Linked DNA regions of Coturnix japonica. The protein of the gene in region 3 interacts with the protein of the main gene of each other region in a pairwise test. Links are inferred from orthologs where the notes say so. Each region holds a gene or a part of one and is shown on either strand. Other genes may lie near its edges.

Region 1 (3,648 bases), on a different chromosome or scaffold from region 3:
CATGTCTGCCCTCTCCGCTATCTCCCTGGACAGTGTCCATTTTCCCATTTTCTGTGTGTGTCCAGAACAAAGAAATTTCATTTTTGCCAAGCCAATTACATCCTTCAGCAGTTTCTTTTACTGATAAAGAATGCCCTTTGTACCTTCCCCTCCCTACCCCCCTAGACCTGATCCAGGCTGGCAAGAAAGAAACACAGTGTATTTACCTTGGAATCAGAAAAAACATATTCCTTCCGCTGTGTTTTTTCTTTTTCTGTTTCCAGCACGATGACCAATTTGGTCGGGACCTTCTGAGACTTGATAAGCTGCAAGACTAAACAGAGACTGGGTGGCATGAGCTGTGATCGCTGAAGCTAGAATCCCACCAAAACTAAGACTCAGACCCAGACTTGGGACTTACATGGTCTTTTATGTGTAGGGCTGACTTTGTCCTGCCTAACTCCACTTTAATGTTGCTTAACCCTATTCCCTATAGGAACAGACCTTGCCCTTGAAGCAGAGGCACCAGATTCCTCCTGCCTGGAGCTCTCATCCATACTGAGCCCTGTAGATCTGATGTGATGCCTTGCCTTCCTGCAGACAATCTCTCTTCCTACTTATATTCTTTCTCCATCTGGCAATGAGGAGGTAGAATCCCATCTGATGGTAAAGGTGAATAATCCCCATCTAAAATAGCAACTAGGTAATTATGAACACGAGCTAGAGAAAACCGCACATGAAAGCTAATCTTTTCAGTCACTGCCAGCAACAGAGAGATTTTATACAGAGGAGAGAGCCCAAGGGCATAGTTTTCTGTTTGATAAATCCTACTGGTTTTGGCAATGCCGTTCAGGGAAGAGTGGGGTATGACGAAAAAAAATCAATAGGAATCTTCAAAGAGCTGTCTGCCTAGAAACATCAGAGGCAAAGGGAAGTTGTTTGACTTGGGCCTTCACAGGCCAAACTCGTATTGCTCATTGGTAAAGTTATTGATTCATATATAAAAACAACAATCAAGGGAAGCGTCACTGTGCTGTGGTACTGAGACTGAGTATCTGGCTTTCTACCATCAAAAATCATCACAGGAGTCAACACATTCATACAGCGTGTTTCTTTTCAGCAATACTGCTTTTTGGTAGAAAACTGTTCTATCACAACCAGCTCTACGGGTAATCAATAGCCCATCAAAACCTGCTCTTGCTGTCTTCTTTTGGACCAGGAGGCCAGGCAGATTGCCCTTAAAAACAGTCTGTGAAAGCTGGTTAAGCCAGTATTGAGTCCCTGCTGTCTGCAGGATGGGCAGCCTGGTGTGCCTGGGGCTCACACAGCACCCAGGGCCAGGCAGACATTCCTATCTTCTCACCCATCCTCCATCATCCATGGGACCGAGCATCTGGTCCCACATTTGTGACCTTAAGTATCTTACTTTTCTTATGAGTATAAAATTTGTCTTCTGGGCCATCCTTAGCTCTCTTGATAATCAGTTTTCCCATTTCCACGTCAACCTTGAGATGTATTTTTGAGAAAATTCCCAGAGAATCGGCTTTCACCTATCAGAAAACAGAGATATCTGTCAAAAGCAATGCTGTGCACTCCAGTCACATGTATTACAAAATGCTACATTTGCCTGAATTCATAGACAAGCACATCATTATGCCAATCCCACCTGTTATCTCTTAAGCATTCACATGGCACAAATAGGAATATCTGCGTTATCTCTGAAGCAGCATGGTACAGAACTGAGAGACTGATATAAATCCACATGATTGCCTCTCTGCCTTCTGGTCAGCATTGTTAAAGAATGTTTACCTCAAAAGTCACAGGGGGGATGAGGGAACGGCGGTGTGTTGAATCAGGACCTTCGATCAACAGTGTTTTCACCTGGAAAAGAACCTGTGTGTACTGAGTTGTGCACTACCCCGAGAGTAAGAAACTCAGCAGAGGAATCTTACTGTGGCAGAGGATGGCACTGATGATGAGCCAGAGACACATAGGACATGTAAATAGAGGCAACAGATGACATGAAAATAGTGTAAAATAGCTCTGAAAACTCTTACCTTTTCCTCAATGGAAGACAGCAATGAGATCAGCTGATTGAGTTTCAGTACAATATTGACTGGACTGGCTTCACCAAGCATCTGATAACCACAACACAGAAACAAAAAGAGAGGGATGTATAATTACCAAACCCACAGAGCATCACCTGGAAGACTCTCATCTGTAATGAGCAGCATGAAAGCAGTGCATTTGGCTGAACATCCAGATGTATGGCAGGACTGAAGGGCAAATCTGCAAACCTAATCTATAGGCTACAAGTATGGAAATGCAAGGGAGTCAGCTGGGAGACTGGTTTGCATGACCAGGTGCAGGGCTCAGTCCTGGACTTCTGTATTTCTGGGCCACTGGTGAGGAGAGCAGAGTCACAGGACTTAGGTGGGGTTTGGGTATGATTGATCTGGCAGTCAAACACCGTGGAGTGCAGTGTATGGAAAGATAAAGGTGCAGTCATAGCCCACAGACTGAGGGAGGATATGGGGACAGAAGTCCTCAGGCAGTTAGCTGCATTTTCCTCTGGGGCAGGAAGGTAGAGGAGACTATGGAGTAAAGCGAAACTGTGGGGTGTAACTCACTGTGTGCCCTCTGCATTGCAGCCATCATGAGGCTACAGATAACACAGGCTGTAACTCATCACCTGCAACCCACCAAAGCGTTGCTGGGAAATCAGAGCCCTCCCTTTCCCTGTGGGGCAAATGCCTGTACGCCTCTGTTCTCATCTCCCAGCTTCCAGCCAGCTTACCTGTGAGCGCTGATGGATGCCAGGGTGCAGCTGCTGCTCAAACACCTTCTGGATGGACTCCAGAGATGGGAGGGTCCGCGAGGCTTCACTGGGAACAGAGAGGTGGCAGAGGCCAAAGGCTGCGGTCAGGTCTCCAGCTCAGTTAGCACCAGCTTCTTTGCACAGAACAGCACAGGCACACACACGCTCACACCAGGGCTGCTCTCAGCAGCTGCCAGACTCCTGTCCCCCCAGCTCACTGCCTGCTCCACCGGTGGGATGGGTGATGAGTGCCTTTCTCAGCTGCCCCAGTGATACTGCCCATAAAGGCCAATTGGACTGAGGCATTCAACTCTGCCTTGCCATAGCAGGGTGTGGGCCATTCCTCTGGTTTAACTGCAGAGATAGAAACTTCTCACATCTCTGTGGGAAGATGTCCCAGTCTGGGCCAAACCAGAGGACAACCAGCATCCTACACAAGAACATCAAATGATATTTCCACTCCAAAACCCCAAAGCCCAGCACAGTTTGGAGCCCATGGATGTCCCAGCAGTAGAAGCTTGGTGTAGCAGGGTCCTTGCAGAGGACACTGGCAAAGAGGAAACTAATTTTTTTCATATTTTTCAGCTCACGTGACACAGAGAGGCCGGGCACAGGAACCTCTCATGGGTTACAGTGAGATTCCTCCAGCATTTCCCAGCTGCATCCCACAGGATGCTCGTTTGACAAAGTGCTGTTGTATGAACTTGGCACAGGAGCTGCGGTCCGATCGTGACAAGACTTATCACGGAAAGAGCACGCAGGGAGTGCAGGTCAAAAGGAAGGGGATGGTGGGAGCAGTGCTGGGATGCCTTCACCAGGCCCAGTCAACTGTGGATATTAATGATTTCCCT
Region 2 (4,298 bases), on a different chromosome or scaffold from region 3:
AGCTCTTGGCAGTACAGTCTCCACTGGCTTTGGCAGTGTCCCTCCGAAAGCGCCTGCCAGACAACAAGCCATCGTCCCGCTCAAAGAGCAGATTGTTCACAGCCTCTGCATTCAGAGAGGCCAGCCTGCGTTTCCTGGGCTCTGAAGGAGCAGCATCAAGGTCTTCCTCTGTCCCTGGATAAGTTACTGTGCACTTTTCCCCAGCTGAATCACTCCTGCCCGCTCCCACAGGTTTAACTTGTTCAGCAAAAAAAGTGGGCCCCAACTCCTCCACCCAGCTGGGAAGGTCCTTTTTTTTGCAGCTCTGGGTCTCTTTGGACAGAGATCCAGCCACATCTTCCAGCCTGGTGAGAAGCACTTTACAGGTCTTTTTGTTCATTGAAGGGTGCAGACGTCTCCGCAGCGGGTACGTCTTTCGGACTTCCTGCAAATTCTTGCTTTTGCTTGTCCCCACAAACCCACTCAAACTGCTGGCAGCCTCAGCAGCATCCCCATCCCTTTGCTCGCCGCACTCCGCCTGTGTCCTGTCCATCCTCCTGTTGCCTGTGGGTGATGAAACCTGGCCAGCAGAACCAGCTGGATGCTTCAGAAGGAAAAGTTGTTTCTTCCGGGCATGCGTCATAGGATCAATGTCCAGTCCTGAGAACAAGCAGAAGAAAACACGCTGATTAATACAGACAAGAGGGACTCATCTCCTCACAACACGTCAAGTGTCAATTAGGAAATACTTGGGGAAACTTGTTGCGATACATGGTCAAGCCTTTTTGGGTGACAGCCAGTTAAGCCAATTAGGAGGCAGGATGCAGCGAGACGTGGGTTAATACTAAGCTACAGAACATGATAGCAATTAAAGGCGAGGTGACACAGGAACCAGGAAAACCAGGATATAGCCAGCTTTACCCAGCTCCCAGCCCAAGTGAGATCCCCACTAAAGCAATGCCAAAGAAAGGCAGACAAGCCCCAAGTGCTTTCATCCTGTATCAGTAGCAGAGGTTGGTTGCTCACCTTTCACCATGCCCTAGGCTTCCTGGCTATACAAAGAGCAGCATCTTACTGCTGAGTGGGCTTGGAGAAGCTGGCAAGCAATGCCAAAGGAACAGCTTCATCCCAGCAGTTTGTTTGGCCAGGTGCTGGCTTCAGCAAGAGACCTGTGGTTGGCTTATGTCAGATAACTGAGGGATGCTGCAGTCCAAAAGAACACACATTCACAGGTGAGTTTAAAGCTAAGAAGGGATACGGTAGGCAATATCTACAAACGTTTTAAAAAGAAAGCCTAATTGACTAGAGAAATCAATTTAATTAAGCCTGTGTCTGAGCAGAGGAAACAGCAGAAAAGGGCTATTTCTTGCATGTAATGGTATTTATGAAGCAGTCAGACTCCTGTTATTGGCAACAAAGTGCCAGCCTACGGATTAGCACCGATATAGGAGCAGTCTGATTCCCTCCACATCAAGTATCCAGCTGCAACACCTCTCAATTGACGCAATCAGCACAGGTCTGCTACTTCTGAGGCTGCTAATTAAAGCTACTGCATCTGTAGCGAAGAGAACAAAGCTACCAAATTACAAGAACCGTTCATTTGATATGGTTTAATCAAGCTGATAATTAGATTATCTATTTGAAATAGACCCACTGTGCTTTAACTGACTTGCTTACATACGCATTAACTAAAAGAAAACTAGGAATTGAAAGCTACCGTGGCCTGCACGTTATTCTGCAGATATTAGACTCTTTCCAAGGTGTCTCAAGGTAATGGAACCCTTACGTCCCATTACACAAGGGATAACTCCTATAGCTTATGTGCCTCAACTGCAGCACTCTGTGGGGAGCAAACGTTTATGCATATACCCATGTTGGTTCCGATCAGCAATACCAGTTCTGGAAATTAGGGTTATCAATTCAGACTGACAAGTTCCCTCAAAATCAGATTAATTCTTGCACAAGCTGACACGTTAAACACACACAACCTTTGGAGTTAGCATGAGAATTTCTATTTAAAGCATGCAAACCAAGGTCTGACAGTGGTAGACCAAGCATCCTACAGAACCATGCCCTAGGGAAGATAATATCTCCCATACAGGCCTGTGGTTCCTTTTACACCTCTGAACCTATTTTCTGTTGTCCCCAACAAAAGATGGAGCCCTCCAGCTGAGATGGGAGAAACCCAGAAGAAACAAGTAGGATTTGTCTTAAAAACCAGCATCAGTTACCTCTGTCTCCTGTAGTTCTCACCAACATCCTGTGAGCAGCAGTTACCTCCTGACTACCACTACTCACCTATCACATGCTGGGTTTTACAGCCCATCAGTGCTTGAATGAGGAAGAGACCTATTAAAAACTGAGTACTTGAGATATAACCTTGTTCATACCAGATATGCTCAAAAGATATAAAGAAGGCTGGGGCAGATTGAAGAAAGGGGATTTTTTCACCAACAAAGAGGAGAATCATTAACAGCAACAGCAAGAGTGATAGTCTTCCCTGTTTGACTCCATGGGGAGGGTAAAGACAAACAATAGCTTAAGTACCTTTCCTGGAATATAAGCATAGGAATGCTTTCTTTTACGGTACTCCACATGAATGTGGATTTTTAATACATACATTTCCTCCCACTGCAATAAAACCACCAAAGCCCAGAGGCAAGATCCGTATTCTGGTGCAGCACAGGTATCATTGTCTTGCATGTTGTGGCATATTTACAGGTAATACTCCACAACAGCTTTCATCACTGACAACTGCAGCTGGGAACGTGGAGCAAAACAATCGAGCTGAACTTGCAAAGATGACATTAGAGATAGTCAAAATCACACCAAAGGGGGAAAAGCACCAAGATTCAACACAGTTCATTTTAGAGAGTCTCAGTTGCATGAGCTTTTGACACAAGACTAATCAAGCAATCACAGGCTTTTATTAATTACTTGTCAGTAAAATGAGGATATGTCTGCATGGATCTCCTTGTTGCCTGGTCTTCAGGTTCTCCCCCTCTCTCAGAGCTCAGCTGCTAGAACACTATAAAGCACTTCTCTGCAAAGGAAGAACTAAACATCTGAGAATTTGTGCTGTATTGGCTTCATACATCTCCCTCCCCCCCCACACACACACACCTCATTCCCCCCCCAGCCCCCCTCCCAGAAGCCAACTGCAGCATTTTAGATGTTAGATGTGATCCTTAACATCTCTTACAGAGAAAGACTCTCGACTTTTCTCTGAAAGCACTCTCAGCCCTGAGGATCTGCTGCATTTCTCATCTCCCTGTGTTCATATACAGGTACAGAAAGAGCCACTATGAGCTTTCTGCTGGAGCGCTGCAGTGATGCCACTACAAGTTTTGGATGCTGTATACAGAGACAGGCAAGAAGACAAACAACATGAATTAAGTGCTGATTTAGTTATGAGCATGCATTCAGAAATAGGCACCAAGCAGTCTTACCAGCTTGCTCCCCTTACCTGGAGTCCATTAACTCCTCTTTCCCCAGCATAACACACAAGCAGAGCTTCCAAATGCTGCTTGAAACTTCAGTAGCCTATGATGCTTTAGAAATCAGTCACACAGAGCTCACCAAGACCAGCTACTCGCTTTCAGCTGGGAAGGAAGCGTCAGGGCTCCTCTGGTCACCTTTGTAGGGCTTCACAAAGCAAGGAGGAAAAACTAACTATTCCCAGAAAAGAAATCCCAACATAATCTGAAGAACTGAAAATGAAAATACTTACGGCAGAACCACCCATCTCCTGCGTGCAACAAATGGGAGGTGAGGAAACACTGACAGCTTACTTAAGAAGTGGAATGACTTTGACAAGGCAGCTTGGCCTAACCCTCAGCATTCCAAACCCACTGAGCATTCTCATAGATGAAGTCGCTATCCCCCCTTCCTCAAACTGGATCAGTTTGAAGGAATTATACTGAGAGCTGCAGACCACATCGGACAGAGGAAATTCAAACAGAAATGCACTGGTCTAATTTTGTGCTGTAGTAAAAGCGCTCCCAAGTCTTCAGAGAGCTGCTGCTTCTTTGCCTGCTAATGAGGCAAGTGTCTTAACAGCTGCATTTTCTGTAATCATGCAGCTGCAGCATCTGTCTCTCCATCACTTGATTGCAAGTGAAATTAAAAGACACCAGTCTGGGACTACCCATTCAAGTACCACTTCCCTTCCTAAGCTTCACTATGGAGATGCGCTGGTTCCAAGGAGATGATGCCAAAAAGAACAGAAACGTAAAGCTTTTCAAGCTTCTAATTCATGTGGCACTTCAATAACAAACAAAGAGTTACAACGACATGAATCTTCCTCTCCATGTGCAGCA
Region 3 (3,648 bases):
GACTAAATTGCTTGTTTTGGTACCTGCATTACTGTCAGATAGAAAAGGATGTGTAGTCTATCTGCAGGATGAAACAAAGCTTCTGTCCACATTTTAAGAATTATATCATACAGAATGATGTAATTGCTTTTTTTGTTAAACATCACATTAAAGTTTCAATTAGAATTCTATGATTTTCTAGGAAATACATGCATTAGTCACATCTCAGAACTTGCCAGCCTAATAAGTAAGTTGTTAATCAGTAATTAAATTCTAAGCTCAACTTCAGTGCAGACTGTTGTTCTTTCTCATACAGGAGGAAAAGCACAGAGTGGTTTTATATTTTTGGGAACATTATAAGCCAGAGAAGGTGGCCAGTAAATCATGGCATACTATTGACAAGTACTATTTTCATTTGTAACAGTGAAAACGTGCAATTCACTAGGCAGGTGATGTGATTGTCTTCTTACTGATTTACATTGCCTTTGTGTGCTAAAGCTTGAGCCAGATTATAGAATCTTAGAATCACACGATCATAGAATGGTTTGGGGGACCTTTAAGACCACCTACTTCCAATCCCCCTCTTGTAGGCAGGGACACCTCCCACTAGTCCTGGTTGCTCACGGCCCCATCCAGCCTGGCCTTGAATGCCTTCAGGGATGGGCCATCCACAACCTCTCTGGACAACCTGTTCAGTGTCTCACCACCCAAACAAATACATCACAACACAAAAAATGCATATATATGTTAAGCTACAGATTTCTGATGTCTGCTTGGGCTTCATGTAATGGATACTGTCATGATAACCAAACATCCTCTATTAAAACAACTGCAATTGCATGTTGGCTTAACCTGTACCCAGCATCCTAAATCAGGGCTGTTAGTTTTTTTTTTTCCTTCTTGTACTTCATTTGCTTTCGTCACCTGTTATTCTTTGCATATAAAAACAAGTGTTATTAAACATAAGTGTTTTTTTCTGTGAAAACTCTTTGACATTATCCAGAAGTCTTTCTAAGGTGGAAACACTGTGATGTGGACACTATACATTACAAGCACTATTAGACTGATCTATAATGAGCCACTGCTAATGCCAGTTACTTTCCCAGGAACTCTTGTTTTGGGAATATACATGCAGCTTGTAGTAGCCTCAATGCCAAATGTGACAATAGGCTCCTTACAGACAACAGACTCCATCTGAGTCCAAGTAGTACAAGTATATTTGATGTTTTTTATTTCCTCCCTGAATTTATTTTTTTTGTCACAGGATTTGCTCGTCTCTCCAACAATTTTAGGAAGAAATTCAGGTATCTTAAACACTCAACTGAAATAATCAACTCTTACCTTTGTCTTATCCCTCATAGAACCTTTTCCCAAAATAGACATCTTTGTCAGCGTTTCTTCCTGCAAGCGCTTTAAAGAATTGCCACGTGGACCCAAAAGCTTTCCCACAAAGTTAAACTGTAAGAAAACAAAAAGATATTATGACCACTCAATTTCTAAGCACAGAAACATGCAAAATTTGCTGAAACAACTTTTTGTTCTGGGTGCAAAAAAGCAGCAAGTGCTTAATCATAAATGACAGTCACTAAGTAGAAACGTATAGGACAGTTAACAGCATGTTAGGGAAAACCAGATGCCAACTGAAACCTAGAAGTATCTGAACTCAAAGAACTTTCAAACAGCATAGATAAATGACACATTCAAGGCTGAGACCAGATGTGCTCAAACTGCAATTCAGTTTTTCAACAGTTGTTATCAGGTATATAACCATAAAAACAAAGCTGGCAGCAATCCCTCACAGATGCAGTAGCACCCAAAAAAAGTTTTGAAAATGAAAAAATCTGAATTGCCTTATGCTGCCTGTAAGATTTATGAAGTAATATAGCCTCTCATATAATATACCCTACACTAAAACACAGAAACAAACAGGGAATTAAATCCAAAATTTATATGCTTGTGTTTTCTGTCTCAAAACAAAACGAACATTCTTTAAGGCATTCTCAACTGTTTCCTAACCTCTATTATCACTGAAGTTTACCAAAACCAGCTGCAGTTCATAGCCAGGGCAAAACACTATTAAAGTAACTAAGGAGAAGGTAGTGATGCACTACAAATACAAAGGAACAATATTACTCGGTTAAAACTCAAACACAAAGCATAAAAACAGGCTACTGTGAATACCTGGTGCTCTATCAGCCCAGAATGTGATTCAGAGGGAAGATAAGTCAAAAACACAAATTCTACAACCCACCTAGAGCAGAGAAATAATAAAAAAGAAAATGTCTGCTTTTATTTAAGTATACAAAATTGGGTTCAATGGAGCCAGGTGGCATGAGAAATCTGCACAGCACATATATTCCCAGATGCCTACTGAGAGAAAAGGTACGTAAATTCAATAGGTCACTTTTGTACATCTACATGTTGCATTTTGGAAGTTACATGAAATCTGAAGGATGGTTAGAGAAGATTTTAAGGATAATTTTAAGTAAACAGACACTATTTATATATTTATTTTCATACTAAAATGGGCCTGTAAACATGAGATACACTTTGAAATTTGTATGGAACAGCACATACCAAAAGCATTAATTCATTCTATTGTAAATAATACATAAATTTGGAGATTACTGTTCAGGTATATTTACTATACCCTGCAAAGCTTTATAAAACCATGATATCCATAAACTGTTACAGTCTAAGGCAACCCATTTACGGTAACAGAATTTTAGGCATAAGTGATAAACAACAACACTATAAAACAAATACCTTTGGACTACTTGTTTTTCTGGCCTCATTCATGCAACTGTTCTTCACTTGTCTCTTCCTCTAGTACTGCATGATTAGAGGGCCACAATGGAGAGCTCATTAGAGCCCCCTATCATTAGAGGGCTCATTTGATCTCCCTGCTGGGCTAGACGAATCCAATAGCAGTTGACAATGGGGCAGTAGCAGCTCTAACAAACTCTATTGTTGCTACAATGGAAGTGCTGATGGAAAAAGAAGTCCAGCTCAGGTTCTCCTACAATGAAGAAAGTCTACAGCTCCAGTTCACCTACTTCAATCTGAGACAAAAAAGAAATGCAAGCAATAAAAAAAGCCTATTAAAAATGAAAACTTAATTCTTCTCTCTTTAGTACATGCAAGGTCAATTCCTGACTTAGAAACAAGATACGACTGAATGTATGGCTATGGATGACTGGTCCACACAAGCTATTGAATAAGGCCTTTCATGAACTAGCCTTTTCTGAAACTAGCAGATCAAATCTCAAAAAATACTAATGTGACACTTTAACTCTACTGTGATGCCTCATTTTATTGCTTACAGGTTTTTTTTATATACTGTCAAGGAAAACAGATTGGAAACAGGTTGCCCAAAGGAATAGAATTCTGCCATGCTGAGAACGTTCACAAGGTCATCAGGAGGTTGTACCAGAGCTGTCACAGAATTCCCTTTCTACACAGACTTTTGACTTTATGATTACAAGGGTGTAACTGCAATGAAAACACTCAAACTAGTTTCAATAATTTCTTTAAAAAAATAAAAAATTAAAAAACTAAAAACATTAAAGAAAAAGAAAATCCAAACACAGTAACTTTCAAGTCAGAAATGCCTTGTCATTTTCTTAAATAAGTGATCACTACTAATGATCAGGGCCTTTACAGTTAAAT

What was found.
Region 1: the proteins of KHDRBS3 (region 3) and INPP5D interact in binary tests that used the Homo sapiens proteins (3 or more experiments, as listed by UniProt). The two-hybrid records come from large-scale screens. The link is inferred for Coturnix japonica from reciprocal best matches to the Homo sapiens genes KHDRBS3 and INPP5D.
Region 2: the proteins of KHDRBS3 (region 3) and BAHD1 interact in binary tests that used the Homo sapiens proteins (3 or more experiments, as listed by UniProt). The two-hybrid records come from large-scale screens. The link is inferred for Coturnix japonica from reciprocal best matches to the Homo sapiens genes KHDRBS3 and BAHD1.

What each region holds. Positions count from the first base shown.
Region 1 is NC_029524.1:1,941,814-1,945,461, forward strand, and holds part of INPP5D (phosphatidylinositol 3,4,5-trisphosphate 5-phosphatase 1), read right to left. Parts: intron 2,865-3,648; coding exon 2,777-2,864; intron 2,118-2,776; coding exon 2,037-2,117; intron 1,861-2,036; coding exon 1,789-1,860; intron 1,530-1,788; coding exon 1,406-1,529; intron 314-1,405; coding exon 207-313; intron 1-206. UniProt on the Homo sapiens protein: Phosphatidylinositol (PtdIns) phosphatase that specifically hydrolyzes the 5-phosphate of phosphatidylinositol-3,4,5-trisphosphate (PtdIns(3,4,5)P3) to produce PtdIns(3,4)P2, thereby negatively regulating the PI3K (phosphoinositide 3-kinase) pathways.
Region 2 is NC_029520.1:867,727-872,024, reverse strand, and holds the start of BAHD1 (bromo adjacent homology domain-containing 1 protein), read right to left. Parts: upstream 2,893-4,298; 5' UTR 1,016-2,892; coding exon 1,006-1,015; intron 640-1,005; coding exon 1-639.
Region 3 is NC_029517.1:129,023,620-129,027,267, reverse strand, and holds part of KHDRBS3 (KH domain-containing, RNA-binding, signal transduction-associated protein 3), read right to left. Parts: intron 1,438-3,648; coding exon 1,321-1,437; intron 1-1,320. UniProt on the Homo sapiens protein: RNA-binding protein that plays a role in the regulation of alternative splicing and influences mRNA splice site selection and exon inclusion. Binds preferentially to the 5'-[AU]UAAA-3' motif in vitro.